7 linked regions of the Rattus norvegicus genome follow. The protein of the gene in region 7 interacts with the protein of the main gene of each other region in a pairwise test. Links are inferred from orthologs where the notes say so. Each region holds a gene or a part of one and is shown on either strand. Other genes may lie near its edges.

Evidence for each region.
Region 1: the proteins of Tfip11 (region 7) and Krt20 interact in binary tests that used the Homo sapiens proteins (3 or more experiments, as listed by UniProt). The two-hybrid records come from large-scale screens. The link is inferred for Rattus norvegicus from reciprocal best matches to the Homo sapiens genes TFIP11 and KRT20.
Region 2: the proteins of Tfip11 (region 7) and Ndn interact in a two-hybrid assay, tested with the Homo sapiens proteins (2 studies listed by BioGRID and IntAct). The link is inferred for Rattus norvegicus from reciprocal best matches to the Homo sapiens genes TFIP11 and NDN.
Region 3: the proteins of Tfip11 (region 7) and Gng4 interact in a two-hybrid assay, tested with the Homo sapiens proteins (2 studies listed by BioGRID and IntAct). The two-hybrid records come from large-scale screens. The link is inferred for Rattus norvegicus from reciprocal best matches to the Homo sapiens genes TFIP11 and GNG4.
Region 4: the proteins of Tfip11 (region 7) and Ccdc68 interact in binary tests that used the Homo sapiens proteins (3 or more experiments, as listed by UniProt). The two-hybrid records come from large-scale screens. The link is inferred for Rattus norvegicus from reciprocal best matches to the Homo sapiens genes TFIP11 and CCDC68.
Region 5: the proteins of Tfip11 (region 7) and Lca5l interact in binary tests that used the Homo sapiens proteins (3 or more experiments, as listed by UniProt). The two-hybrid records come from large-scale screens. The link is inferred for Rattus norvegicus from reciprocal best matches to the Homo sapiens genes TFIP11 and LCA5L.
Region 6: the proteins of Tfip11 (region 7) and Ccdc121rt1 interact in binary tests that used the Homo sapiens proteins (3 or more experiments, as listed by UniProt). The two-hybrid records come from large-scale screens. The link is inferred for Rattus norvegicus from reciprocal best matches to the Homo sapiens genes TFIP11 and CCDC121.

The regions. Positions count from the first base shown.
Region 1 is NC_086028.1:84,880,239-84,884,091, reverse strand, and holds the end of Krt20 (keratin, type I cytoskeletal 20), read left to right. Parts: coding exon 1-60; intron 61-874; coding exon 875-1,095; intron 1,096-1,766; coding exon 1,767-1,804; intron 1,805-2,856; coding exon 2,857-2,954; 3' UTR 2,955-3,140; downstream 3,141-3,853. UniProt on the Homo sapiens protein: Plays a significant role in maintaining keratin filament organization in intestinal epithelia. When phosphorylated, plays a role in the secretion of mucin in the small intestine.
Region 2 is NC_086019.1:125,259,309-125,263,251, forward strand, and holds Ndn (necdin), read left to right. Parts: upstream 1-1,750; 5' UTR 1,751-1,817; coding exon 1,818-2,795; 3' UTR 2,796-3,350; downstream 3,351-3,943. UniProt on the Homo sapiens protein: Growth suppressor that facilitates the entry of the cell into cell cycle arrest.
Region 3 is NC_086035.1:93,431,747-93,436,342, reverse strand, and holds the start of Gng4 (guanine nucleotide-binding protein G(I)/G(S)/G(O) subunit gamma-4), read right to left. Parts: upstream 3,149-4,596; 5' UTR 2,814-3,148; intron 1-2,813. UniProt on the Homo sapiens protein: Guanine nucleotide-binding proteins (G proteins) are involved as a modulator or transducer in various transmembrane signaling systems.
Region 4 is NC_086036.1:65,815,580-65,820,160, forward strand, and holds the start of Ccdc68 (coiled-coil domain-containing protein 68), read left to right. Parts: upstream 1-1,721; 5' UTR 1,722-1,822; intron 1,823-4,581. UniProt on the Homo sapiens protein: Centriolar protein required for centriole subdistal appendage assembly and microtubule anchoring in interphase cells. Together with CCDC120, cooperate with subdistal appendage components ODF2, NIN and CEP170 for hierarchical subdistal appendage assembly.
Region 5 is NC_086029.1:48,947,174-48,951,109, reverse strand, and holds part of Lca5l (lebercilin-like protein), read left to right. Parts: intron 1-256; coding exon 257-588; intron 589-2,049; coding exon 2,050-2,564; intron 2,565-3,936.
Region 6 is NC_086031.1:95,784,665-95,788,561, forward strand, and holds Ccdc121rt1 (coiled-coil domain containing 121, retrotransposed), read right to left. Parts: upstream 2,472-3,897; 5' UTR 2,411-2,471; coding exon 1,439-2,410; 3' UTR 804-1,438; downstream 1-803.
Region 7 is NC_086030.1:49,969,167-49,973,719, reverse strand, and holds the start of Tfip11 (tuftelin-interacting protein 11), read left to right. Parts: upstream 1-1,462; 5' UTR 1,463-1,535; intron 1,536-1,586; exon of another isoform or gene 1,587-1,697; intron 1,698-2,565; 5' UTR 2,566-2,753; intron 2,754-3,039; 5' UTR 3,040-3,048; coding exon 3,049-3,257; intron 3,258-4,497; coding exon 4,498-4,553. UniProt on the Homo sapiens protein: Involved in pre-mRNA splicing, specifically in spliceosome disassembly during late-stage splicing events. Intron turnover seems to proceed through reactions in two lariat-intron associated complexes termed Intron Large (IL) and Intron Small (IS).

The sequences.
Region 1 (3,853 bases), on a different chromosome or scaffold from region 7:
ACGGAACTGAGACGCAGCTACCAGACCCTGGAAATAGAGCTCCAGTCCCAACTAAGCATGGTGAGCCCCTCGGATCATGTTCAGAACTCTGGAAGCACAGACAACCGAAATAAACAACCTTTCCCCTTGCAGAGCCAACAAGGAAACAGGTCCAATGGCTAATAAGAACTATGCCACAGGAAGAAACCAAGGCAAGGGTAACAGGCAATGCAGGGCAGAGGAAAGAGTAGATCTGGAAGCTTCCACAGAGAAAATCACATTTGTCCTGGATCTTGAATCAAAGATGAGCTTTAAGTTGCAGGAAAGGGGTAGAGGCATTGCAGGCTAAGTAAGTTATGTTGACAACCCTCCCAAGACGACATGATGGCATTCCACTTTAGGAGTCAAGGCTAAAGGGACAGACCAGTCTGGGTCATGTCAGGGTGGTGGAAGGAGGAGAGAGAGAGTTGAACTATGGGGCAACTCTTAGAGTTGAATCTCAGGAGAAAAGGGAAAGGCTCTGTCAGTTTTGCCTGCATGTCAACCGCCAAAGAGTCACATGATCAAGCCTGGGCCCGTAGCTTGAGAAATCCAGTTCTCAACTGACACCATGAATTGTGTGGCCAGGCCTACTAAAGGGGTGACAGGCATGACCTCTTTCCAAGCAAGGAAGTAAACCTCGACGCTGTGGCACCGTGTGCATCACGCTGTGGGAACCGTAAAGGTTAATCGAAACAAAGCAAAAAGGCAAGAGGTGGCAGGGGTAACTGGCTGACTAGGCAGAAAGAGCTAGAAAACCGGGTGGTGCTCAAAGGCTGCAAAAGTTCTTCCCAAAAGACACAACGGTTGCGCTATCCACAAGTAAGAATCCCCCCTCTTTGTCTTGCATGCTTAGAAAGAGTCTCTGGAGCGCACCCTGGAGGAGACCAAGGCTCGTTATGCCAGCCAGTTGGCGGCCATCCAGGAAATGCTGAGTTCCCTGGAGGCCCAACTGATGCAGATCCGGAGCGACACTGAACGCCAGAACCAAGAGTACAATATCCTCCTTGACATAAAGACCCGGCTTGAGCAGGAGATCGCCACCTACCGCCGCCTTCTGGAAGGAGAGGACATAAAGTGAGGCTCTTAGCATCCCGGAATGTGTGTCTCTCTGTGTGTTTGCCATTCTCCTTCACAGTCCTTGTCCAGCCAATCCCCAGCACAATAGCAGTGTTACACACGGGACAACGAGGCAGAAATACACCAAACAGTAGAGAACACCCCACACAGCAGTAGCCTATGAACGAGGTCTGTGACAGGACCGAGTCAGAAGACGGTTCTCCAAAGGATGCCGATCACCTTTGTGTTGATTCTTGTGCTAAGTGTATAGCTGGAAGCATAATGCCCTTTTGAAAATTCTCACTGACTGCTCATGAATTAAACCACCGGCCGCGAAGGCCCACGGGAGCCAGTTTGTAGATGAGCAGAATTGGAGCAACGTCTGCCTTCGCATATAAACCTCCCCCGCAAAACAAACAATCAAAAAACCCCACAGACTTGAACGTTTGTCCTAATTTTAGTCCTCAATGTACAAATTTCTAGTAGATGATAAGTAGGTCGGTGTTTTCCAAGCTAAAAAGCAGATCACTGCAGCGTGAGATAAACACAGTCCAAAGGACAGACATAGGAAAAGAACATTTAACCACATGTCAACCCAGACATTAGAAAACAAAGGGGCAAGGAGGGAATCCCCACAGCTTTGACCCGGCAGTAATGCTGTCTTTCTTTCTGCTTACTTCACAACACAGAACTACAGAGTACCAGCTAAACACTTTGGAAGCAAAAGGTAAGTGTTCTGCACTTGGGCACATGTCCTATAGTGCGGAAATCTCAGCAGCTCCCTGACAGCTGTCTGTCAGTGGGGGAAGGTGAAAGGTGGAGGTCCTCCAAAGCACAAGTGAGGGGCAAGTTTCTATGTGTTTGTTTGTTCCGTGTGTGTGTGTGTGTGTGTGTGTGTGTGTGTGTGTGTGTGTGTGTAAGAGAAAGGAGAGAGGAGAGAGGGGGAGGGGAGGGAAAGAGAAGAGAAAAGAAAGAAGAGAGAGAAGAGAAAGAAGAGAGAGAGGAGGGGAGGGAAAGAGGAGAAGAAAGAGAGAAGAGAGAGAAGAGACGGAGAAGAGAAAGAGGAGAGAGAGAGAGGAGGGAAAGAAGAGAAGAGAGAGAAGAGAAGAAGAGAAAGAGGGGAGAGAGAGAGGAGGGAAAGAAGAGAAGAGAGAGAAGAGAAGGAGAAGAGAAAGAGGAGAGAGAGAGGAGGGGAGGGGAAGAAGAGGAGAGAGAGAGAGAGAGAGAGAGAGAGAGAGAGAGAGAGAGAGAGAGAGATTGCCCATGCCACACTGCATGGAAGTCAGAACAACTTCCTGCCTACCACCACATCCAGCATGTTTTCAAAGGAAAACCATGGGTTTCAGCACCAGAGCACAGACCCCCATACTTGTTTAGCAAGTGCTGTATTGGCTGAGCTATCTCACCAGCCTCAAGGCATCAAGATTCTAAAAGACTTGGACATCATGCACAGAATGCACTCAAGTGGAGACTTTGGCACACTCTCTATGACGAAGTGCCTTTCTTAACCCATGCTATGGCTAGAACAGCCCCGGGTCCTGGGGAGGCAGGGGGTTGGGGGGGGGGTGTGCAACTAAAATGTGGATTTCGTTTTATTCGAGATTGCCTATTTTTATCTGAGGTGAGAAGATGGGGGCCTTATGAATTTGGGGAGAATGAGATACATCGTTCTATGCTTTTTTATAAAATCCAACTTAAATTTGTATATGGAAAAAGTCGAGTGATTTTTCAGGGTGGCCATGAGCCTGGACCAACTTCTAATGTCTGACACTCACACAGATATCAAGAAAACCAGGAAGATTAAGACGGTCGTGGAGGAAGTGGTAGACGGCAAGGTCGTGTCCTCTGAAGTCAAGGAGATAGAAGAAAACATATAAACAGCTGCCAATGGGGAGGCTGCTCCAGCTGTGGCGTCCGGAAACCGCATCAATACTGTGCGGTGACTGCGAAGCGGGGAGAAGTCTATTTACCGGGCTCTGTAATTAAATATAAACGTTTTCACTCTGGGGAGCTGTAAAGGGCTTGTAAGATTAAAGCCAGTGAATCCTGGAACATTTAAGCCACCTTCACTGTGGTCCTCTTAGGGCGGAGGAGTTCAAGCAAACAAACCTCTCACGCCTGGGGTTTTGTTTTTCTTGTTTCTGAATTCTAAAAGCCCCCTGTAGGGTTCTCCCAGGAGGCAACTTCCCAGTTACTCTCATTGCCCTCCTGTTGCCTTTAAGCTGCCTTTGCCTCCCCTCCTCCAACCCAGTCGTCTCTGCCACCTCTCAGAACTCAACTTAGTCATTGAATCATTTAAGACAAATTCCAATCACGAATGCTGAAGAGAGTAAGGAGCCCTGCGCAAGGTGATTGACACGGGGCTCGGTTAAGAGCAAAACTAGACTGGAGGTAGACTGGTGTCTTCTTGTCGTAGTAAACTGCTTAGCTCATTAAACGTAGCTTTATTCGGTGAATGTGGGGTATGGAGTGTCTCTCACGGTTTTTCTTTCGTGAGACTCAGCTACAAACTGCGAAATCCACCTATGTAACGTGTGCACCCGGGGGTTGTACAACGATGACCACTAATCCTTGAACATGTCCACCACCCTCAAAGACAGAGCCCATACCCAATGGCAGTCATCCCCAGTAGACGAGGATTTCGGACACCAACCTTGGTCCCCACGTGGATGCAAATACAAGTGCACTTGCAACACGAATGGATATGCACTCACACACATGTGTACATGAACCATACACACACATTCACATGCACCCACACACATGTGCCCACACA
Region 2 (3,943 bases), on a different chromosome or scaffold from region 7:
TACACATAGTGAGTTAGCCCAGAAAATTCTTCAAAATCAACCCACTTGGGAAAAACATATCTAAGAAATGACTAGAGCACTCTTAGTCCAAATACCCGAAATAGCAAACATTGTACAATCTGAAACATTTCCAGGATGTACAGGATATTACAAGTGACAAATCCCATATCAGCTCTCACCAGATCACAACTGAGACAAAAGTCTACCAGGACTATTGTATAATGTTGCCTTCAAAATGTGGATAGAAAGCAAACTAATAACATGTCTATTCTGGAGCTTATAACATATCATTGTACATATGCGAATATTCTCAAACCTGGAAACACGGACATACTTCTTGCCACAAATATTCTGGGTAAAAGATGTCTGTCTTGTCTAAATAAACACATTGAAGAGCCAAGGAATGCCAACCCAATACCTTAAATACATCTGTTTTAAGTGATAATAAATCTCAATGCATAATTTTAAGATGTTTTAAACTTGAGGAACTCAAAGAAGGGCTAAGGAATTCCATTATTTCAGAATAAGAAAGATGATCAAATTTAAGGACTTCTGGCTTTGGAAGCTTCAACCATGGTCATTGCATAAAGGAAAGTTCGAGGAAATATCAGGTTCAGGTTACCTCCTCTCAATCTACATTTTTTATTTATGAACACCAATATGCTGCCTCTCATTTATGAAAGAATGTTAGATATTATCCAAAAGAATTGCATTTGAAAGATATTGGGAAAGATTTGGACGTGCGCCCAACATGGAATTAGTCATTTGCTAATGACGTAATGCAAGACGTGGAAGATTTCTTATAAACATGAAGATGTAACAGCAGTAAGCAGGGGGAAAGGGCACTGGGAGTGCATGAAAAATACACTATCATAAAATGTGTATTAATAAACATGTTGATCATTTCCCACTAGATTCTTAAGGGAATTTCTAAATGAAATCAAAGTGACCTAATAGAAATGCAGAGCCCAAATCCATAGTTATTAAAATAATTGTAAGCCAACAAACTAAGAATCCAACGATGAATGAATACATATAAATAATTTTATATATCTGTTTTGTTCATGTGGGACCTGGGGTTTAAACTCAGGTTCATGCTTGAACTGCAACAGCTCTTGCCCACTGAACCAAGTCCCATTTTAATTAAAATTTTAGACGCACATCAATTATGTTATATGAATCTACTTCTAAAACATTAAATTCTCACATGGATTGATTTCCAGTGTCTGTAACTATACTTTGCATTCTTCCTTGTTTGATACTGCTCAGATTTGTAACGATTTATCTCTATTAATAATTTCTCAACATTCTGATATTAGACAACACATCATCATCATCATCATCATCATCATCAGGTATGACTTTCCAAGAAAAGGTTATTTTTGTCTCTCCTATTCTTTTGTGGAAAACTCAAATTCAAGAATTAGTCTTCTTCCTCCAGGACCTTCACACTTAACTCAGTGTGTCGGAACTTAACTTCACCATCTCAGCTATATCTTTCTCCTTCAACTTGTTTCTTTCCCCACTATCACCCATCTCTGTCCCATACAGGAGACCAGGAGATCCTTTTCATAATACTAGTGGTACCCTCCCTTAGACCCCAGTGGTTGGGCTTTGCTACTTCGCTCCTATCCAGCCCTACCACCCTTCTGGCTTCCCACTACGCATGCGCAATATAGCGTCTGCCCCGCCCGGCCCGCTGCTGCGGAAGGCGCAGTGCTCAGTAAAGCGCACTTCCTCTGCTAGTATCCACTGAGGCAGTGCAGGCTCCGAGAGCTCCGAGTCGCAGCGGTCCTGCTCTGATCAAAAGACGCAGAATGTCGGAACAAAGTAAGGACCTGAGCGACCCTAACTTTGCCGCTGAGGACCCCGACACTGAGATGCAGGTCAGCGATGCTGTTCCGGTGGGGGTCCCTCCTCCCGCTCCTCTGGCCGCGAACCTCTCAGGGCCATCGTGCGCTCCGGAAGGCCCTATGGCAGCCCCACAGGCCTCGCCACCACCTGCAGAACGGTTTGAAGAGGTTGACCCTAAGATCCTGCAGCAGGCCGCAGAAGAGGGCCGCGCCCACCAGCCCCAGAGCCCAGCCCGGCCGATCCCAGCACCGCCGGCCCCTGCCCAGCTGGTGCAGAAGGCGCACGAGCTCATGTGGTACGTGTTGGTCAAGGACCAGAAGAGGATGGTCCTCTGGTTTCCAGACATGGTGAAAGAGGTCATGGGCAGCTACAAGAAGTGGTGCAGAAGCATCCTCAGGCGCACCAGCGTCATCCTCGCCAGAGTTTTCGGGCTGCACCTGAGGCTGACCAATCTCCACACCATGGAGTTCGCCCTGGTCAAAGCACTCAGCCCAGAAGAGCTGGACAGAGTCGCGCTGAACAACCGTATGCCCATGACAGGTCTCCTGCTCATGATCCTGAGTCTCATCTATGTGAAGGGCCGCGGGGCCAGAGAGGGTGCGGTCTGGAATGTGCTGCGCATCCTGGGGCTGAGGCCCTGGAAGAAGCACTCCACCTTCGGAGATGTGAGAAAGATTATCACCGAGGAGTTCGTCCAGCAGAATTACCTGAAGTACCAGCGTGTGCCCCACATCGAGCCTCCCGAGTACGAGTTCTTCTGGGGCCCCAGAGCTAACCGTGAAATCACCAAGATGCAGATCATGGAGTTCCTGGCCAGAGTCTTTAAGAAGGATCCCCAGGCTTGGCCTTCCCGCTACAGAGAGGCTCTGGAGCAGGCCAGAGCTCTGCGGGAGGCTAATCTTGTCGCCCAGGCCCCCCGCAGCAGTGTCTCTGAGGACTAAAATGTCCAGGAGCACATTGATAGTTTCTGACCCATACTAGGGCTGTGTAAGGGTGGGGTTGGACATTAGAGTATCCCAGATTCATAGTGCAGTATTTCATGTATAGTTTTTAAGTTTTCCATCCAGTGCTTTTTTTATCTTGTAATGCAATGTATTCAGTTGTGTACTCGTGTAGTGTTTAAAATTGATGCATGTGTGTTTTATAAGTGAGCAAGTTGGTACTTTCACTTCTGTGCTTTCTTGGATTTTTGTACAAGAGATGTGCTGTGCTAAACTTGTGAAATACATTGAGGTGTTCTGTATCTTGTTCTTTGAATGGGACTGATGGTCCGTATCGACAAAGAAGGCCCTGGAGAGTTAGCAGGACTTAACAACAACACAGACCTGACCAAGAGAAAGGTCAGGGTCCCTCTCCATATGACTCCAACTGGCACAGGAAACATCCATGTGGAATGGACTGATTTGAACTGGACTGTTTTCAGTTTAAGCACTTAGCACACTTTGCAAAACATGTATCCAACCCCACCATAAATAAACTTTAAAATGAGCATTAAATATACCGTGAAATAATTTCTTTGTTTGGGGGGGAGGCATTTATTTTGGTGAAAGGGGGAATGGGAGTGGGTAGGGATGAGAAAGATTCTCCCCGTGTACAACATGAGCAAGTATACTTCTAACAGAGTGGGAAAACACCACTCATAACCACTCAGAAGTTTTTTGAAAATTGTGGTGCTTCAAGAAATTGGTCACATTAAAGGCGTGATAACAAAAAAAGGCATGTTCACATAACGTGGGAATAATAACAGGAATTATGTAGGGACTGTCCCTTTTCTGTTTTGTTTTGTTTTGTTTTTTTGTTTTAAATAGTCTTTGGTGGGCACTTTAACAGAATGAAATATTGCTACTAAACCCTCGTTGTGCATTTTCTTCTTTATTTTATCCTCCCACCAGCCATAAGAAGTAAGGAATGACTGTATCAGCACAAAGCAAGAAAAATGAAAGGATGCTGGTAATGAAATACCCTAAAAATCATAGACCTTATACTGGAGTCTTGACACTTAGCTCCCCATGGCTACCACTCACACAAGCACCCTTGTCTCCCTGCTGCATACATTAAGGATTTGATTTTTCTAATTAATTCTGAGAGT
Region 3 (4,596 bases), on a different chromosome or scaffold from region 7:
GGGCACTGTATGCACATGTGCTGGGGAGAAGCAGTCCCTCAGACCTCAAAGGGCAATGAAAATGTTTCTCCTATCTCTAGGGACCTCTTCACAACTTTAGTACACATCCTGACAGCTGACCTAACCTCTTAGAAGGAACTTTGAGGAAAAAGAAGGGCATATCATCATCTTTGGGAAAGCCACATCCAGCCTCAGTCACCCACTCTTTTCCTCCATGTGGCTCAGTCATATTACTTGTCATCTTTACCTACTTTCATTGAAGTCCCTACAGCCCACCGAGGGCACTGCCAGAACACTTCCCAACTATGATGCTTTGCAAAACCCCAATGAAGCAAGTGTCACTTGAGGATCAACTGAGGCTGTTCTCATCACATACCCAGCAAGCACTGCTCCTCAGCCCTGGGCCTACTTACCTGGGCCCCCACCCTGCCTGCCTCTGATCGGTTCAGCCTTTGTGGATTTGCCTGTAGACCCCCAAAGACCTCAAGGCCACATGATGTACATTGTCTCCACTGCTGCTTCTGTGTCCTCACCCCTCATGGGCAGCAAGGGCCTACCTACAGTAAGCAACACTGCTTCCACACAGGCCCATCTGCCAGAGACTGCAGCAGCTGCTGCCACAATGGCCCCATAGCTCAGTGCATGGATCTCTTTACACATGTCCCGATTTTTCTACATGAATCTTTCAGGAGCTTTTTATTGCCTCAGCTTTGTTCCCTGTGTGGACACTCCATTTGTGTTTCCCCCCACCAGTTTCTTGAAAGGCCTTGGCTTATTCTTAGTTTTTAGGCAGCCACTTAAAGCCTTCAAGCAACATGGTCCTACTTTGACACATGGTTTCTCTGACTTTCAGCAAAAATCTGTGATATCCAGGGTCTATGTTTTTGTAGAAATTAAGATGTTTCAGTGTTTGGTCTAAGAAAACTGAATGAGTAACTGTGACCTGAATACTAAAAGTCTCAAAGTTTGGATTTGCCTAAAGGCAATAAAGATGTTGTAAAGGAAACAAAAGAAATCATCAGATTGCATAGCAAACTGTAGATTTAAAAAAATCAGGTATTACTTCAAAATTTCCCCAAAAGAAGCTTCTAATACATGCCATCAACACCCTCCCCTTGTCAAGCAGAATAAAGTGAGACAAAGTAAGAAAGATGGCAGTAAGATCTGGCAGTAAGGAGACCCAGACTTTGACCAACTGCTGGGCTGCATTCCCAGCGGGTGCTGAGTGTGAGTGTGTTCTGGGTGGACACAAACACAGCCACTCTCACTCTCAGGTGTCCAGTGATCTTGAGACAGGACAAAGGCAAGGGCCCTGTGCCATCTGATAACTGACACTACGAAATGAACAAGGGAAATCTCCCCTCTGGGTTCTTCCTTACAGACTACCATGAAAAGAGAGGGAAGGCAGCCAGTCAGACAGGCAGGAACTGATCAGAATGGCCCTTCCTTCCCTGTGCAGTTTTCTCCCCAAGTCTCTCCATTGCTTGCTCTCTGGGTTTTATTACAAGGGGAAAGGACTGGGGCCTAAGGGTTGCATGGTCCCACAGCTCTCTCAGACTGAGAGTCCCTTGGCTAGCAATGCACCCCGGTATGTCCCTGCATTCTCATCAACACCTCTCAGCAGGCTGGAGAAATCCAGAAACCCCAAGTGCAGTCGACAAGCACCTTGTCTTGTTTCTCAGGACTGAAAGAAAGCTCAGGTCTCCCCCACCCCAAACCCCAAGTGGTCTCTATCAGGTTAACAGGACCAGAGGAGGAGGTGGCTGCCTTCCTCCTTGCAAGTCAACATGAGGAAAAGGGTGGTGACGCTCCAATAATGAAGAACCAGTCAGCCTGCACGCAGCCCAAGTGCCTTGCTGCAGCAGTGGGGGCCATCACACCTCGCTCTGGAGCCTTTTCACCAGTACCCAGCACAGCCTTGCCGGTTTGCTCTGGCTGAAACGCAAGCCTGCCTGCTGCCAGCCTTTTACAGACCTGGGAGGCCTGGGAGCCGAGGACAGGATTTATCTATCGCTGGATCAAACTTTCACATTTGGAAGTATCCTCACTCACATCTTAGCTCGAAATACACGACAAGAAGCAGATTAGGATAAATGATGGAGCCTTTTGCAGCCATTGGCATCTCGTCTTATTATTTCCCAGAAGACTAAAAATTAAAGCAAAGCTCGCTCTCCCAAAGCTATGCCCCATGAGCTCAGCAGTGCGTTTCAGCACCTGCTTCGGGGACAGTCGCCATCGAGAGGGAGAGCACAAACTCACCCAGGTCAACAGGCTCTCCCCTCTACCCGAGGCAGGTGTCCTGGCGTCGGGAAAGCAGAGGGCGTCTGCGAACCCCCCGCCAAAACACTGCTCCAAACAAAACGATCAGTGTCCATGCCATCCATCTTCTGTGGTCCTCTGCACGAGGGATGAGGGGGGTGGGGTGGGTTTGGGGGTACGAGGTGGTGTCCCTTATGGTCATGACCGGCCAGTCTCTATGCCACCCTCTCCCCCATGAAGAAGGGTCCCCTGGAAGCCTCGGCCCTCCTCGACCCTAGGGTACTTGGCTGTGTCCCTCGAGGCCCCTGCTACCTGTGGACATTACGGAGGCTCAGGCTGGAGGCTCCCCGCGGCCGTGCACCAAGAGGCCGCCACCACAACGAACCACAGGTCTTTGTGACCCGTGCCGCGGCACCTCCAGAGAAGGGAGCCAGAATGTCTCTCTAGTTCCGAGACTTTTGATTTCGGCCAGGGACTCACGGAGCTGTCGGGGCCCGGGGCCGAGGTTCCCCGACGAGGCACCGCGCCCTCCCGGGGGCTCGGGCGCCACTTACCGCAGCCGGCGCGCAGCCGGTGCCGCTCAGACGTGGGCTGGGTCCCCGGCGTGGCGCTCGACGGGGGCGGCCAGGCCAAGCGGCATCGCGAGCCCCGGGCTCTGTGAAAGCGCGCCCCGTGTCACCACTCGCGGGGTCCCGGGCCACAGAGGACCTGCGCGTCTGGGGAGAAAGGGGGAAGCAGCGCGGAGCCCAAGCCACAGCAAAGCCACCCGCAAGCGGGGCTCCGGGTCTGCGCAGCGGGCCCACGGGGTGCAAGGCGGTGACTCCCAACCCTTGCCGCTGCGCCACGCTGACCGCACCCACTCCCTCGCACCCACTCCGCAGCAGGTCTCCTCCCGCGCCGGGAGGGGCCGGGAAATCCCGCCCGCCGCCGCCGACGTCACTGGTGCGTCACTGGGGCTCCCACTCCGGGCTTTGCGCGCCCCTGGACCCGGGCCTCACCCAGACCGGCCCTCCCGGGGAGCGCGCAGCCTTGGAGGGTTCATGGCTCCAGGAAGATCCCCAAGTGCAGAGTGGGGACAGCCAGCTCAGGGTACTTCACCTGGGGACACCTAGGGTGCCTCACACGGAGGAAGGTGGGCACAGTTAGTGCAGATGCTGAACATCTGGAAATGCGCACCAATCTTACGCAGACGTCGCTAAGCAACGCGGGCAAGACCGCCACCCGACCTGGCTTGGCAGAGCAACTGCCTCCCAGCCAGTCACCAAGAGTGCAAGTGAACAGCAAGGAGCTGCTGCTGCAGGGAATCCTGGCGACTCCCAGTGGCCTGCCAAGCCTTGTCCTAATGGAACTGTGTTTTGTGTGTCTCGCTGTAAACGGATGAATTACCAAACTCCTCTTCCTTGAGACGCAGCTTCAGTCACGTCTGTTTTCCAACTCATGAAATAATACAAAGCCCTCTGAAGGCAGAAGCAGGGAAAACGTTTCAGGCAGTAGATGCATAAAGAAGGAGGCCGTACTACTTCTGTCTATAAACACCACTGACATTTCTTGAAAATCTTCCTCCTGTCTACCTTCCCTAACCCTGCAGAAAGTCACACTATAGAGGATGCCTTAGATTTTCGCAGATCTTTCTGACATGCCTCACGGTACCGTGCACGGTACAGTGACTGAGTCGAACTGCCCAAAGAGGTCAGAAAGGCCCAGTGGGGTGGAAAATCACGCTGATTGTCTTTACAGCTCTCAGGAGTCCCTTTTGGCCTCAGAATTAATTGACGTCCCAACGATTTAGCCAGTAATAGTCGCAAGGCAGAGACTAAGTGAGACCCTATGGTCACTACAGTTGAAAATTCAATCAGCATAAAATTGTGTCTACTGTTTTTACTCTCGGATCCACCATCTCTCCTGCAATCCCTGGCTCAGTCGTTCACTCTTCCTACACACCAGCTGCAGGAAAGTTGATCGTAGGTTTCCTTTTACCAGAATTCTAACAAGTTCAGTTGTATTCCCATGTATTCCATGTCAATAGATAAACTCTCTGGTGGATTGGGTGGCCACTGGGACTCTTCCGTCTCTCCCAGGCCTTTTCTTGTCTTACGCACACACAGAGCGATGTTCAGCCTCTAGTGCTCTGGAGGGAGAAGTTGCATCCCCTTGGGCAACCTCCTACACAAAGACCCTACCCTCTTCCACTAGCCGCCCGCCCTTCTGGGGACCAAAGGAGCAACATAGCAGATCTCTGGGAGACATTAAATATAATGATCTAAATATATAATGATCAAGGATAATTGAAAACAACAGAGTTGATTTAGTGTTGAGTAAAGGGCAGAGGGGCAGCCA
Region 4 (4,581 bases), on a different chromosome or scaffold from region 7:
AATTTTCTTGCTCTTTCTTGGTGAATGTATGATTCTGCTAGTTTGTTTCTATTTTTAAATGAATGAATGAATGAATGAATGAATGGTGCGCGCGCGCGCGCGCGTGTGTGTGTGTGTGTGTGTGTGTGTGTGTGTGTGTGTGTGTACATGTATGTATACTGAGCATATCTATGTGGCTCAGAATCCGAGTTTTGGCAGTCACTTCTTTCCCTGTCATTTTGTGGGGTCTGTGGGCTGATTTCAGGTAGAAAGAACTACACACAGACGTACCTCACGGACACCCCTCACTAGTCCTCATTCATTTTACAAAGGTGCCTGATTATTGAAAATAATTGTTTCTTTAGCTTTTATAAAAAATACTAAAATCTGAAAAGAAAAGTCTGTCAACTTTCGCTTCTCCAATTGGGCCATAAAATCAACAGATTAATTTGTCAAGAAAATACAATTTCTGTCCCATGTGCTGGAATCGTTGGGTTCAAAGTAAAATTCTGGAAAGTCTTTTGATGTCGAGGGCTTTGACAAAAGTTCCTTATATCCTGTTAAATGTGAGAGGGTGAAAGAAATGTTCATTTGTCTCGTGTTTTTGTTTTTCTTTTTACCTCAAAGACCTAAATGTTTATGAACCTTCAAAGGGACATAGGAAGTCACTGACACAGTTCCTCGTGTAACAATTAGAACAACAAAATGAAATGTAGAATTGACTCATACGCAAATATACACAAGTCCATGCTGAGGTAACTGAATGCATAGATAAATGAGAGATAAGAAAATTACCCTTAAATAGTAACCCGAACAATAATGTCTGGATGCCACAGGAAGTAGAGCTCGACCTTTCTGCCTTGTCACCCAGAGTAAAATGAACCGAGTGAATTCAATGTGACGAAGACATTTCGAGGAGAGAAGAAGAGTAACGAAGCAGAGAAACCTAGTCCACTTGATTCTAATCAGGGAATCAAGGTCAGCCTTGCTGCGGAAGTCTGATTGCTGTCTTGCTGTCACGTTGACCAGCAGGATGGGATGAGGTGTGGGGGAGGGCCTTGTCCCAGAGGTTTTCTTCCTGGTATGCGCATGTGAGAGATAGCAAAGAGACGGGTGGAATAATACCTACCAAACATCACTGGTATACCTCAAATTTCTAAAGTGGATCAGATCAAGAAAGGACTAAAAAAAAAAAAAAGACCTGTCAAAGAGCAGCAGAGACGAGGTGACCCACACTAACGCCAAGTAGTATATCAAATGGGATTTTGAGGGGAGCTAGGACATAAAGGGTATTAGCTCCAACACTCGTGACATTTGCAGACAATTTGGGGTTGGTTAATAGTAATGGACACTGTGGATGTCATAGGTTTCAACGAAGCCATCTCTAAGGAACTGTGTACCTTCAGGGCTCTGGCTGAGTTGTCTAGGGAACTCTTTCTCCTGGTTTTGCAATTGTTTGGTTTCAGATCATTCCCAATTAAAAGTGTTTAATTAGACACACACACACACACACACACACACACACACACACACACACACACGAGAAATGAATTTGTGGACTTAGGGCGCTACAGAACATCATCAGACAGGCCTGTCCTTAGCTAGAGCCTTTCCCCTGGGACAGGCGCCTTAAGGGCGGTGTCTGGTCTTTCCGCAGCAGCTCAAACGTCCCAGGCATTGGAGAGTCAGAGGCTCCTCCCAGAGGTCTGGGACACTGGACTCTGCCCTGGGCGCGCCTATCTGAGCACTTAGGTGCTCTCAGTCGCCAAACTTCAGCAGTTAAGGACCCGACGGTGGGCTCTCTGCCAGATCGCTGGAACTGGAGCAGGCGGAGGCCTTCAAGGTAGGCGAGCCTGGGACAACTGTGGACTGCTGCCAGGTGGGGGGACATCAGGTGACCTTGGCGCGGGCCACCCAGCCGAGCACCCCGGGACATTTCCCGGGGAAAGTCTTAGAGTGGTGAAGAGGGTGTTTCGTTGAACCTCTGGTTCTGGGCTCCGATTCCCTGGTGCAAAAGTTTTCAGAAAGAGAAAGTTACTTTTCTCCTCTCCCAGTGCACACAAACCTGCTTGTTTATTTAGGCTGCTGTTATCTCTTAGTCAGAAATCCTGAGACGTCTGTCTGCCTGTTTCAGGGGCCCGGGGAAAGGTAACCCAGAAAAAGCTGCAGTCTAACTGGCGTTCATCTCTGCCTCTGTGAGTTGTAGCCGCAGAGGTGAGCGAAAGTCAGTTGTTCCGCACGGACTTGCCTCGCTACAGGCGCTGCAAGGGAACAGCCCGTTTCCGACTCACTTGTCAATCTGGATTGTGGAGGGGCCTGAGGCAGCTTAGCAGGAGCAGTATCTCCTGCAGGGGCAGTTCTGGTGCTCCAGTGGATCGTGATAGTGGTGAATTTTCAGCCTCTTTCAGAAGGAAAAGGTGAACATAAACTTCAGAGCCTAGAGCACACCTCTAGGCCAGGACATAACTGATGTTACAGCAACGTGTCATAGTTATCTTATTCCAAGCATCAAGCGCCCCCCGCCCCTCCTCCTTCCTTCTGTGCTATATAAAAATTAACTTAATCAGATGATGTTAGGAATGCCAAACAGGAAGTTTAGGGATGGCAAAAGGGGAATCGAGCCTTCGGATTTTAAGCGATGCTATTAAATATTTAGCTCTGTGTAGATTGGTTTTCCAGAAACTTGATCTGGGCCTGAGTGTCTGGTACCTGTGTAGAATTGATGCTGTTGGTCAATTGTTGCTGGGCCGCCCTGCCCTCCTCCCTGTCGCTCCACCTCCATGGAGGGGCAGGGGGGGGGCGTTAGGGGAGTGGGAAGGAGATAAATAATTTGTCTCAGGCAGAGAAAAACATTGTTTCCTCAACTCCAGAAATAATGGAAAGAGGCTGGGTGTGGAAAGACCCAGGCAGACTTGTTAAGATTCTTAATTTGTTCTTTTCCAAGGCAATTGATCCTCTGTTCTAACTGAAAAGAGACTGAAATAAAGACCGGCACGCTTCCCTGACTTACTAAGAGGGACTATAACCAGAATGAAACCTTAAGGTAGCATTTGTCAGCTTGGCTGGTTCAAATGTGTTTCAACAGTGGCCTTTGGTTGCCATCCACACTTTTTTTTTTTTTTTTGCCAAAATGCTTAAAAATGTAAGTTAGATTTAGCCTTAAAATGTTTACTTCAGATAACTGCTGATAAGAGGAAGGATTTTGAAGAGATCTGAGAGGTGTTTAAAGTTGTAGGTTCAAGTAATTTTGAACTGAGACAGATATATCCAATTTAAATGATCATTTACTGATTGAAGCATATATATATATAAATGATGTATAAACATGATAAAAACATATATATGATGTATAAACATGATAAAAACATATATATGATGTATAAACATAATATAGACATGATATAAACATATATATATATATATATATATATATATATATATATATCTCATGTGGATTCATCCAGGTTGTAGTCTCTATTAGTAAGTAACTGAACAGTGCCTGGGTTTGATTAATTAAATAATTTAACATGATCACATAAATTTAATTATTGCTAAGCATGAATATCTGCCCTCTCCATGGATTTGGAAAACAAAAGCTGGTTTGGGGCTGGGCCTATGCATACTCTTTTAGGGAGCACTTTAAGCGATTGTGAGCTTGTGGAACAGAGCACACGTTTGTAAGATTAGAATTGACGGCGCTCCTGCCTGGCATGGTGCCATGTTGATTGCACAAGAAGAGAAATTCCTGTCTTCTTACGTTGGATTTCTCTAGAACGTCCTACTATCACATATCAGGAAGCAACAAACACCGGCCACAGATATGAGGACCTTTGTTCTGACAGAAGTTTCCCTCACTTACACCCACATCTACAACTTAGAGAGGAATTCCACATTCATTTGGCTAGTGCTGTTCTGTTTCATGTAGATTGGGCGAAAGCTTAGGAATTACGAATTCTAGGGTTAATATTATTAACATGGAATTAAGACTAAAGAGTCAAAGATCAGTTTCATGAAAAATAACTGAAAATTAAATGTGCCGCTTCGGGTAGCAGCGATTCTGGAAATATGAACAAAATTAAAATTTAACAAAGTCCTATCCAATAATTATTTTCATTCTTTAAATGAGAAAAAAATCAAAACAAAACAAAACAGCGATCACTGTTCCCTACAGGGAGCAAATCAGCTATGTTCAAGTTATTCTTGCTTTTATTCGGTTTCCTTGAACACAGTTTTATTGGAGGTGAGAGCAAATTACTCTAAAACATATCCAGGCGTATAATTCAGGGATTGTTTGTAAAGCCACTGAATGCAGTCACCACAGCACAGTGTGCACTTAGGTCACCGTCCCTAAACGTCTGCAGTCTCACTATCCCCGTCTTCAGGTCCAGGAGACCCTCATCTACCTTCTGTCTCTTCAGAGTTAACCTTTTCTGGACGTTTCAAGCTGGTGGAATCAAACACTGTTGGCGCCTTAACATCTGGCTTCTTTTACGTAGAGTACAGACTTCAAGGTTCATTCAGGTTGTAGCATGTATTTGTGCTTTGTTCTGCTTTATGGTCATCTAATATCCATTCCATTTGAGATATATATATATATATGTA
Region 5 (3,936 bases), on a different chromosome or scaffold from region 7:
TTTGAGCTGGGCATGATAGCACAGCCTTTGATCCCAGCCCTTGGGAGGCAGAAGTTGATGGATCGGTGGATCTCTATGACTTTGAGCTGGTCTACACAACAAGGTCCAGGCTAGCCAAGACTGAACAATGAAACTTTGTCCCAAACAAACAAACCAAAAAAAGTACTGTTTCCCATTCTTAATTTCCCATTATAGTAAAGCACAGCCTCATTTAACTCCAGTGACCACAGGCCAGAGTGTCCTTTTGTTTCCTCAGGTTGTGGACTATGTCTTTGGCTGACACAACAGAAGCACACACGAATGAGCATTTCCCCAGTCTGGCATTAGGAAGCAACAGGAAGTCTGCAGAAGGCAAGCATAGCCCTGGTGCTGGCGGCCTGTCACGGAACAGCCGGGCTTCCAGTGGGAGCGTGGACTACAGCAGGTCCCGGTGCTCCTGCACAAGCCTGACTTCTCGCTATGACTACTCAGAAGACTTTCTCTCTGAGTGCTCTGAGACAGCTGTCAGCAGACATCAGCCAGAGCAGCTTCTGGGGAAAGAAAAGGAGAAAAGAAAGTATAACACATGTAAATTCCCTCAGCCTAAAGGTAAGAAGCCAGACTTCCCAGCCAGGGTCACTGTAGCACTGGTCACAGTGCTGTCTTTGTTTAACACTAGTGGCCACAACCAGTTATGGGTGTGTCTTCCTGAAAAAAGAAGAAAAAATATATATATATGAAATTTTGGAAGGACTTGGAAACAAAAATTAAGGAAATCATAAAATAATAAACTGTAGCGTCATCCCCACAGAGCTGGCCCCCTAAGCCTGCTACTAGGGAGAGTTCTGTTCTAGTTAACAGGTGCTCATCAGGTACTCGGTACACAGGTACTCAGTACTTGGTTTCACCAGTTTTTTGCCATTGGCCTCAACTAAAGAATCAAAGTTTGAACTGCCAATGAAACGCCTTGTCTTGACCCCAAGAAGACAGTCTCCCAAGTCTGGTAAGGATGGTGGTGACCTCCATCACCCAAAAGGCCTTTTCTTTGTGGCCCCTTGTTTTATTCCTATTTTTCTGAGACAAGATTGCACTGTGTAACCTTTTTAGACCAGGTTGGCCTTGAAATCCACCTGTCTCTGCCTCCAGAGTGCTGGGATTAAAAGCTTATGCTTCAGCACCCAGCTGAAGGCATTTTCTTATTTGAGGTTCACTCCTCTCAAAAATGACTTTAACTTCTGTCAAGTTGACATAAAACTATCCAGAACAATGGGTTTTAATATAACTTGTTGTATTAGAGTTCATTGCTGTGAAGAGACACCATGACCAAGGCAAGTCTTATAAAGAAAAACTTTAACTGGGGCTGGTTTACTCTTTCCCAGGGTCAGTCCATTATCATGGAGGGAAGCATGGCAGCGTGCAGGCAGACGTGGTGCTGGGACAGCCAGAGTTCTGCATCCTGATCAGAAGGCAGCCAGGAAGAGACCGATTCTACACTAGGCAGAGTTTAAGCCTAAGAGACCTCAAAGCCCACCTACACAATTACACATTTCTCCAACAAGGCCACACCTCCTAATAGTGCCACTGCCCATGGGTTAAGCATATTCAAACCACACCAGTGTTCTGTTGTGTTTGAAGCAGGGTCTCATTTAATCCAGGCTATCCTTGGACTCCTAATCCTCTGCCTCTGCTTCCCCAGTGTAAGGATACAGGAATGCGCCTCCACACCAGGCATGATTCTCAGAGTAACTTTTATAGCAGATATCTAAACACAGGCTTTAGACTTCCAAAGAAGTAGTGTATAGTCCGTTCTGTGTCACCTGATGGCTCTCTAGCCTTGGATGACTTAAAATGACTCTCAGATGTAAGGCAGATGAGCCTGGGCTGAAGAGCTGTGTCTGGGAGACAGTTGTGTGTGCAGTGCCTACGTGCAGCAGGCACGTCCAGTGAGCCGCCTCGGCCTCTCAGTTTCACGGCATTTATGTTTATGTGTGTACTGGGGGTTGCTACACACGTGCATAGTTGCATGCCTCTGTGCACTGCTGTAACAGCCTGCACTGTCTGTCCATGCAGGCCAGAAGGACATCCCAGCTGAGAAAAGGCACATCTGGAACGCTTCATTTTTCAGTTCTCAAATCCAAACGATTGCCAAGAGAAGAGACACCATGACACACCGGATACTGTCAGCCAGGCTCCATAAGATCAAAGAGCTGAAGAATGAGCTGGCCGATATACACCGGAAGCTGGAAGCCACTATCCTAGAAAACCAGTTTCTGAAGCAGCTTCAGCTCAGGCACCTGAAAGCCATAGGGACATACGTGAACTCTCAGAACAATCTACCTCAGATTACAGTCAAGCACCAGAATGAGGTGAAGAACCTTCGACAGCTCCTCCGGAAATCCCAGGAGAAGGAGCGAGCTGTGTCCAGGAAACTCCGAGAAACCGACAGCGAGTTACTGAGGACCAAAGATGCCTTGCAAGCCCTGCAGAGACTCTCAGAAGACAAAAACCTTGCAGAGAGAGAAGAATTGACTCACAGGTTGACCGATCTTACAGCCAAAATGGAAGCAAATGACAAAAAAATACAGGTTTGTGTCTCAGGAGTTCCAGTACTGGGTCCATGGGCTGTGCCCAGCTCAGCACACAGAGTAACTGTGTTGAGTAGCGAGTGGGCAGATGGGGGCTGGAAGGAGGCAAACAAGTGTCAGAGCTGGGAGTCTGCCCTGGAGTGGGCAAGACTGCCCTGCAGCAAGAGTGCCCAGCCTGTCTGGAAGCAGCTGGTCCAGTGGCCACATGGGCATGTCCTGTGAGTCAGAGGTCGCCAGTGTGTTGTGGGCGTCTTCCTTTGAAATGATCACCTGCTTTCAGCTTCTACTGAAAGGCCACCTCCTCTTGCCAGAGTATTGTGTCTGTCATTCCAGCCCCTTTTCTTGTATTGTCTCTCTCCTCAATCTGACAGATTAGACTTGTTTCCACACAGTTTTCGTTATTTAAAAATAATGTTTTCTGGGAAGAAGAAAGAAAAGGGAAAGGAAAGGGAGGAGAAGACAGGGGAGAGAGGGAGGGAGGGGAGGGGGGAAGGAGAGAGGGGAGAAGAGAAGGGAGGGGAGAGGGAAGGGAAGGAGGGAAGAAGAGAAGGGGGAGGGGGAAAGGAGGGAGCAGAGAAGAGAAGGGGGAGGGTAAAAATGGAATTAAAATATCTGAAGAGATGGATAGATTTTTCCTCAACAGACCTTGGTTGTTCATTAAAAGGGGGAAAAGCTTCACAGTAGGGGAGCGGGCACTAATCCCACAGACTTCTGACTGTTTTACATGATCCTGATGGACATAAATACAAATGGACTGTTTAATTCTCTGATACTTGGTGACAAATATTTTCTGATAAATATTCGATGGTTTCACCTGAATTTTCATGATAATATTTGTTATGGGTACCTGGGGGTCACGCCAAGGAGTCCCCTGAGAAATTATTCTATGGAACAGATCTGGTACAAGGCAGTTTATTTGGGGACAGGATGGGGAGTGGGGACGTGGAGAGGAGATAGAGGCAGACATGTAGTCAGCAGACAGTTGGGAGCAGAGCCATCAGGGTAGAGAAGAGGGACAGGAAAGGACAGAAAGGAAGAGAGACCAGCAGGAACACTTGGAACAGAGAGAGAGCAGGAGTGCTGGGCGGGCATTTTACATACAGCCCACAGCTGATGCACCTGATGGCAGATGCTGACATAAGCTCCTGTAGGTCCCTGAGTGTAGGCCCCTGTAGGTCCCTGGGAGTGTAAGCCCCTGTAGGTCCCTGGGAGTGTAGGCCCCTGTAGGTCCCTGGGAGTAAGCCCCTGTAGGTCCCTGGGAGTGTAGGCCCCTGTAGGTCCCTGGGAGTGTAGGCTCCTGTAGGTCCCTGGGAGTGTAGGCCCCTGTAGGTCCCTGGGAGTGTAGGCCCCTGTAGGTCCCTGGGAGTGTAGG
Region 6 (3,897 bases), on a different chromosome or scaffold from region 7:
TTCCCTGGTGGGGCTGAACTGATGCCCCGTGGAATCCACAGGGAACACAAGGCCTTATATTTGTATTCTCCAGGCCTTTAGGGAAAAGATTGCCTCTCTCAGCTCTAGAGGCAAGAAGCAACCTGTAGCAGTCCATCAAGTCTGCCCATTGGTTAGACAACATAATGGCTCCTGGCATACAGGGAAAAGATCTGTAGTTAGCCTCGATCAAGGTGAGCTTTTAATACTCCACGAGATAAGAAATGACGCAAGGAAGGCTTTAAAACAGCCTTTGGGCTGCGGGCTTCTCCTTTATAAACAGTAGGCAAAGTAGGGGGCCTGGATTGGCACCGTGGCAACTCCCCTTACCCAGGCTTCCCTCCCTACCTTTCAGTTATCTGTGTTCAGTTTCAGTCCAAAATCAAATGGAAAATTCTGGAAAGAAACGATTCGCATATTTCATGTGTCTGAGTAGTGTGGTGAGACCTTGTACCATCACATAAGGGTCACAAATCATCCTTGCCCAGAGCGTCCATGTTTTATACACTACCCACCCGTTAGCCACTGACGTAGTGGCCTCACCCCGAGTCATGGTGCTTATGTTATTGGCCTGCTGTACCTCATCACATGCTTGTTCTATCACTTCAAAAGGGTGGCAGTAGTATAATAAAACATTGAGGGATATAGTATTTTTGTTGTACTTATAAATCTGGAGGGGTATTAAGAACTAATTACAGGTAAATTTTGTTTTAACAACACTGTTTAACTGTAAAGTATATGTATTCACCAGCAATGCTAAAAGATGATGATGGTGATAAGGCACATTGAAAAGCTAAGTCACCTTTTAATCCTATTTAAAAAGAACCTATTTTACATATAAAAAAAGCAGAAAATTCTGAAGAGTGCCCTCGAAGTTTTCATTACCAATAATTTCTGAGAAACGTGAAGCTGGCTATGTCTTTTCCCTATGCAGGGGCATCACCCAAATACAAGACCATTCTTCCAGACCAGAACCCACAGTTCAACAAAACAGTCCACCATAAATGCAAACGTGCGACCCTTCTAAACAAACAAAAACCCTACAATTTAAGATTCCTATTTGCTTCATATGGCCCAAAATACATAGAATGTACAGGTTATACACCGTACTTTGTGGACTGCAGAGTACACACTAAGAAAAAAATAAGCGTGGTAAAAATATATGCCCTAAGTGGGTAATCTGAGGATTTCAAATGCTACTATAAAAGTGGGTGGTGTAACCCATTACAAAATTTCCAACTGTTCTAAATCTCTGAGTGTACGCAGCCCCAGGGACACGGACAGCCACGACCTGGGTCCCAGGCTAGGAGCACAGCCCATGCTGCGTCAACCGCCCTTCGTGCAAGCGTTTCTAGTCTCCACGAAGGATACTTTCTGGATTGTAGTTATTCCCTGTGCTCCAGTTCAGTTGTAGTAGCTCTTACTTTAAACTTGTTTTTGATTTGGTGCTCAGCATGGTCTTTGAAGTTCTCTGTTCCTTGAGGCACGGGTTGTGACGACGGTGATGGCGTTCGCGTTCTGCCTGCAGCCGCTGCCGCCCTCTGGTCAAGGCTTCTAGGTACCACCGCTGCTCTTTCATCAGCCTCCGGTGCTTTTCCAGCTGATTCCTCACAGCTTCCACCCTGCGGTACTCCTGGCTCAGTTGCTGAAGCTCCTTGCGTAGCTGCTGGTTCTCCCTGTGGAGGCTGCCACAGAACTCAGAATGAGCCTGCTTGGCTGCTAGAGCCAAGGCCTTGTACTTCCTCGTAAGCCCCGTGGTGTTGATCTGCCCCAGCTCCATCAGGTGCAGGTCTTCCAGCTCCTTCTCCATCAATGCCTTTTCCTGCAGGAACCGGAAGTGTGCCTTCTGGTCCTTGGCCGCAGTCTCACCTCGGACTTTCTCTTGCTCCTGCTCCAAGCTCTGTATTTTCATGTCCTGGCCCTCCTTTACTTTGTAAATTGGCTTCAGGGCCTGCAACTGCTGCTTCAAATCCTTCTGGGTCTTTCTGCCCTGCAGGAGCTGGGCTTGAAGAGCTGCATTTCTCTGGTTGTATCTGGACGCCAATTCTTGCCTCTCTCGTTCTATCTCGCCACATTCTTGGATGTACTGCTTCCACAGCTCCTCCTGTTTCTTTTCACACTGTTCCTTATTTTTACGCAAGTATTCCGTGAAAAGCTGGTTTTCGGCCTGCACGCGGTATTTTTCTTCTAGTAGCTGCCTGCTGTCCGTCAGCAGCCTTTCCCGCCGGCATTTAGTTTCTTGGATTTGCTGGCTCAGCTCCTTCAGCTCCACCACTGTCTTCCTCTTTACCCGTTTCTCCAACCTCGTTAGCAATTTTGGCTTGAGATACGTATTTAGAATAGTAAGGTATGGTGTTGGTGGGGGTGCACCTTTAGGGCTCTGGGCAAGCATGTTCCCAGAATCCCCAGGTCAAGGAAAGTGACTGCCAGGGAGCAAGGCGGTTTGTTACTTCAGGGTACAGCGTCCTGAGCCAATGTTCCCAAGGTTTCTCCCTCTGGTGGTCAAGGCGACCAAGCTACACCCAGCCTGCCAGGAAGTCGCAGAGCTCACTTAGAGTAGCCTCAGAGGCTGTCCAGGGCTGGCCTTGATCTCCGAGTTTTCACTAGGAGCCCAGAGCTCCTGTTCCAAGCTGGCGAGCCCTGTCCTGGGGAGCCCTCTGGTCTTGCTCTCCTGGGACCTGTGCTTTGCCTCCTCATACCCTGTCCACAGGTCAGCGTGCCCTTCTGTTCTCTGCACACTAGCAGACGTATAGCCAGACTCATCTCTGCAGTGCTGGGGGTATGGGTCTGCAGGATAAATGGCGAGACCTAGGGCTGGGGAGGGTTGTTTGCAGATCCTTGAGTTCCCTGTGTGTTGTTGAGAAAGGCAGCATTGTGGGACTTTGTACATGAGCCGTAGGGAGCACAGAAGAGACTGTGACAGGCAGAAGGCCAGGAAGAAAGGGAGGAGGTTTCTGAAGACTGGAGTGCCCTTAACTCTAATTCCTTCACGGCACCTTGGTCTAGTAGGCTCCCCCAAGTGCATCCTTGGGGCACTTTGGGTACTACTGACCGTGGAGTGGCACCCCTGATAGTGAGTTGAAGGCAAAATTGCTGGGTTCTTGAAATCTGGAGCCTATAAGTAACTGGAAATGCCTGCATCTTATGTCTAGGATAAAGAGTTGTGTGACTTTGGGCAACTTGTTTAACTGAGGTGCGTATCTCCCTTGACACTTGGGATTTTGACCTGTCAGCTTCACAATGCTACCATACATTACTTCATCTGATCTTTCCAAAAATGTTAGGTGGAGAGTACATGCATTATTTCCCCCACTTTAGCTATGAAAGAAACCCCACAAAACACAGATACTAATCCCCAAAGACCACATCCTAGGGTAAAGAAAGAATAAGAATCAAAGCTTCTTGGGTTAGGGTAGGTAAGTTTCAATCTACTCTATTTCTCTCAAAATAGTTACTGAGGAAGTCCTGCCCCATTTTTATTACTTGAAAGGCTTTTAATTTTTTTTACAAGACTTTAAGTTAGACATTATTGTCATGATATGTAAAGCAACTTGTCCAAGGTCCTACAGACTTACTAGAAAGTTTACCTGTCTTCTCATGCAACAAATGGGCAGACACCCATTTTGTGGGTCAGCTGGGGTATACTGCTGAGTACACCTAGAACTTCTGAGATTGTTTTCACCCTTCCTTATCTCATGCCTAACTCTTCATTGTGTTGTGGCTGTGTGTGTGTGTGTGTGTGTGTGTGTGTGTGGTGTGTAGTGTGTGTGTGCAGTATGAGTGTGTGTGCAGTATAAGTGTGCAGTATGTGTGCTGTATGTGTAGTATGTATGTATGCAGTATGTGTGCAATGTGTGTGCAGTATGTGTGTTCAGTGTG
Region 7 (4,553 bases):
CATTCATGGGACCATAAGCCCCAAGAAGGAACCCTGATTCCACAGTATCACGTTGGCTCTGATGGACTTCCCAAGAGCCTCAGTAACATATCTTCCTGAATGTTTTAGTTAGGTTTTATTGCTGTAAAGACCACAGCAATTTGGGAAGGAAAGAATGTATTTGCTTTACAGATTTCAGTCCAAGGCAGACATTTAAAAAAGAACTGAAGCAGAAAGCCACAGGAATACTGCTTCTTGGCTTGTTCCCGCTCTTACAGCACCCAGGACCACTTGAGCAGGGGTGGTGCCACCCACAACGGGCCGGGCCATCCCACACCAATCATTCATCAAGCAAACCACCCCACAGTCTTGCCTGTAGACCATCAGGATGATGGAAGCACTGAGGTTCCTTTTCCCATATAACTCTAGTGTGTATCAAGCTGATGGGGAAAAACAAAAATCCAACCAACAACAAAACCCACCAAGACGCAGCCTTTTAGTGTACTAGAGAAAACGAGCGTGTTTCAGAACCAGAGATGGCATCAGACTATGTGTAGATTTGTAAGATGTGTAGAGTGTAAGATGAACTATGCCCCCGTCCTGTGGGCCAGTGGTGGTGCATGCCTTTAATCCCAGAACTCAGGAGGCAGAGGCGGGCATATCTCCGAGTTCGAGGCCAGCCTGATCTACAGAGTTGAGTTCCAAAACAGCCAGGGACACAAAGAAACCCTGTCTTGAAAAAACCAAAAACCAAAACCAAACCAAACCAAACCAACAAAAAAGCCCAACTCCTTTCTTTCTCAGCACCAGAGAAATAACTACAGCAGCGAGGAAAACTGCTTCCTGGCGAGAACGCCCGGGCACTCCTTCGGAAACTCATTCCTTAAACTGTTCCAGGCCCACACTGGTTTATCCTAACAGAGACAACCCAAGAATCAGGTATTTCAGAACAAAATAGGGCCAGGGATTGACAAAGAAAAAACAAATTTATTACAGGCTGTGCACAGCTGCCTAGAGATAAGTTCTTCGGTTCCTCTGCCTTTCCTGTTTACAGAGTTACAGAAAAGATAAAGCAAAAGCCAGGAAGCACGCTCGCCGATTACAACGCGAGGACCTCCGGCAGCCAAGCTCTTCCTCTGGGGCTGGGCCCTTAGCCTTTCCTTCTCGCGACATGGGGTCCTGAGGACATTTTAATCACTCAGGGTCCCCGTGACGCTGGTTCAGGCACTATGGGCACGGCGGTTCTATCCGGCGGTGGCTTCCTTGGGATAACACCTTCTCCGCCTTTGACAAACCAAGACCCCAGTGCTTGCAGAGGGACCAGACATCCACTCGGCCTCAGTTCCGATGGGAACCGGAAGCAGAGCGAGGCCTTCCAGTACTCAGACACGCCCCCTTAGCGTTAAGTCGCTGCCGGGGCAACAGCGCGCCATTTCCGCCAGCGAGTGACGCACTTCCTGTGCGCCGGCAGGTCACATCCGGGTTTCGGCTAGCGGGTCCCTCGCAGGCTCTGGGAAGGTGGACCGAAGTTGTGTGATTCACGGGTGCTGAGTGAGGTGAGCGGGCGGCGGGGTGGCGGGATGGCCCGGAGGGCGGGCTGATGCTCTATGGCGGCGGTCCCATGCTCTCCCCGCGCCCAGGTCTCCAGCCCGGCCCGCCGCGGGACGGGACCTGGGAGCGTCCTGACGCTGACACTAAATAACCAGCCCCGAACGCGGGTAAGCTGAGTGTCTCCTGACCACTGTGGGATTTTTACTATCCCCTGTGCTGGGGAGGTGGTAATCTCATGAGCCCAGGGCTTCCTGCTCCTTTGAGAACTTTGCGCTCAACTCTTAGCTGAGGTTGAGACCTGTTGTGATGAACCGGTGCATAGTGAGGAGTAGGGAGATGTTTATAACAACGGAGCGCTTTCTCCGCTGTCAATTACTGGTGCATCTGTACACCATGGAGTCACATAGTGAGGACATTGCTGTGCAGTGTCGGGGCCTTTGTATGTGATACCCACACACAGAGGTGTTCATAGAAGCGTGATTTAAACTCAGGCGGTAGTGTTGAGTGTTCCTGATTTTCACAGTCATTTTGAAGGGTTCACTTCTCAGCCCTGACTGGTAATGACGGTGATCCTGAAACCACCTGACCACGGGACGGAAGTAGAAGATGCTTTTTTCTTACTTTTTTTTCTTTCTTTTTTTCTTTTTCTCCCCTCCCCCCACCTTGTTTACTGTTTTTTTTCGAGACAGAATTTCTCTGTGTAACAGCCAGCCCTGTCTGTCCTGGAACTGTCCTGGACTGGCTTTGAACTCAGATCCACCTGTCTCTGCCTCCCTATTCCTAGAATCAAAGATGGTCATCATCCTGCCTGGTGAGGGTGCTGTTTCTTGAGCACCTGCAGGGAGTTCAGCTTTTGTTGTTTTGTCTGTTTTGAGACCAGGTTGGCTTTGAAATTACTGAGATGGACTGCCTTTGTCTTTCTAAAGGATTGTTTTAGTGCTTGCAAGCTACTTCTGGAACTGAATGAATGCAGTTATGAGAGAGAGCTAAGTAGATAACCTGGGTAGAACACTTTGTTTACTCTACACCCTCTAGGCGTGACTGTGAAGTGTCGTCCAGAAAGACCACCTCCTTCCAATCCCTCAGAAGCCATTCAGGTTTGGGAAGGAAACCTTCAGTTTTGTGAGACAGTATTTCAGAAAATGCTCTAAAGTTTCCCTGGAACTGCAAATCAGCTAGGTACAACTTCCCTGGAGAAGGAAAGGACCAACTTGGTTTCTGAGGTAATAGCACATGGAGCTGTTGCTTCCTTTCTGTGGCATGTCTGCCGTCTGTCTGTGGCCCCACCCCATGCATGCACTATGTTTGACTCTGAAAAGGCATTGTTCCTTAGACCCCTGTGATGACCGGGTCTGACTCGTCTCACTTGTTGCAGAGCTGGTCATTTTATCCTGTGTTTAATGGCTGCTTTACTGAGTTGTATTATGAGGCTCATAGCTTTTTGACTCCGGAGGATCTTCTGCTGGCCGTGGGTTCTCACAGTGCTGTTCTTGTCCCCTCTTCTTGTAGTGACTGGCCATGTCTCTGTCCCACTTGTACCGGGATGGGGAAGGCCACCTTGATGATGACGATGACGAGCGTGAGAACTTTGAGATCACTGACTGGGATCTCCAGAATGAGTTCAACCCCAACCGGCAGCGTCATTGGCAGACCAAAGAGGAGGCCACCTATGGAGTGTGGGCTGAGCGTGACTCAGACGAGGAGAGGCCCAGCTTCGGAGGCAAACGGTACTGTGTGCTGGGCTGCATGCCCTTGGTCTGGAGGGTCAGGAGGACACCCTAGAAGAGTTTCCTGCCCTGCTCCTGTCCAGACACTACAGCATCCTGCTCTGTACTGTTGAGCTGGGATGGCAACATCCTCCTTAGCAATTACTGTGTGACGGGAGCAGGATATGGACAGAGACGTGCTGGTCCACCACAGGCATGGCAGCTGTGGGACCATGCTGTGCCAAGGAACACTTGCAGGGCACTAGAGAACAGGGGGGGTCAGGGAAGGTCACTCTGGAGAAGACTGTTGGCCCAAATGAAGGCGTCGTCCACAGGGGACGTGTGGTAGTACGGCCTGGGCTACATAGTAAGATGCTGTCTCTCAAGGCAAGAAAACAGCATGTGCCTCCCAGCTGACCTCACTCAGAATATTTTGTTTAATTTTACTTATGATTTTTTGATTAATTTTAATTAGGATTTTTATCTATCTGGGTTGTTCTGTTTGAGTTTTACACTTGAAAGAGTATCTAAAACAAATGCCGTGTGTGTTTTACATGCACGCTAGATAAGAACTGTACCACTCTAAAGCAAGCAGGGAGCTGAGACAGTCTTTTCGGTTGTGAAAGGGGCCCAGTGTGATGGCTTAGAGGTGGAGATGTCTGCAGGGCAAGCCTGGTTAGCTGCGTTCCATCACCAGGTTCCTACATGAAGGGTGAAAGGGATGAGCCACTCTACAGATTGTTCTTGCACGCAGCAATAGCGCCATTTTTGAAAGTGTCAAAGGGAAGTGAGATCATTGCATCCCAATTTGAACTCATAATCAACTACTGACAGTGGCAAGTCTTCAGCTACAGGTTTGAGTTGAACGGACCACATGAGCGTTAAATGTGGGCTGGAAGAGGACTCAGTAGCAATGAAGATTGAGCACTGCTCCAGCAGACCTGAGTGTGGCTCCCAGCCAGTGCCACGGCTGGCAGCTCACACTGCCCCTGATTCCATCTTCGGGGAATCTGCTTTGGCTCACAGGGGACCCATACGGTCATGCACTCAACCACACACAGCTAAATGTTTTTAAAATGTTAAATGTCAGCTGATTGGAGAGCAGGTTTGAGTCCCTTTTGGTGTTAAATCCACATATTACTGCTCTAAAGTGGATCTCATGAGGGCCTCTCTCTCTAAGGAATTCTCTTGTGAGCAGCTTCTAGGACAGGGTGCTGCAGAAGCGTACTTTACGACTTGGAGACTTTGTGTGTGTTGGTAGGGCCCGAGACTATTCTGCACCCGTCAACTTCATCAGTGCGGGGCTCAAGAAAGGGG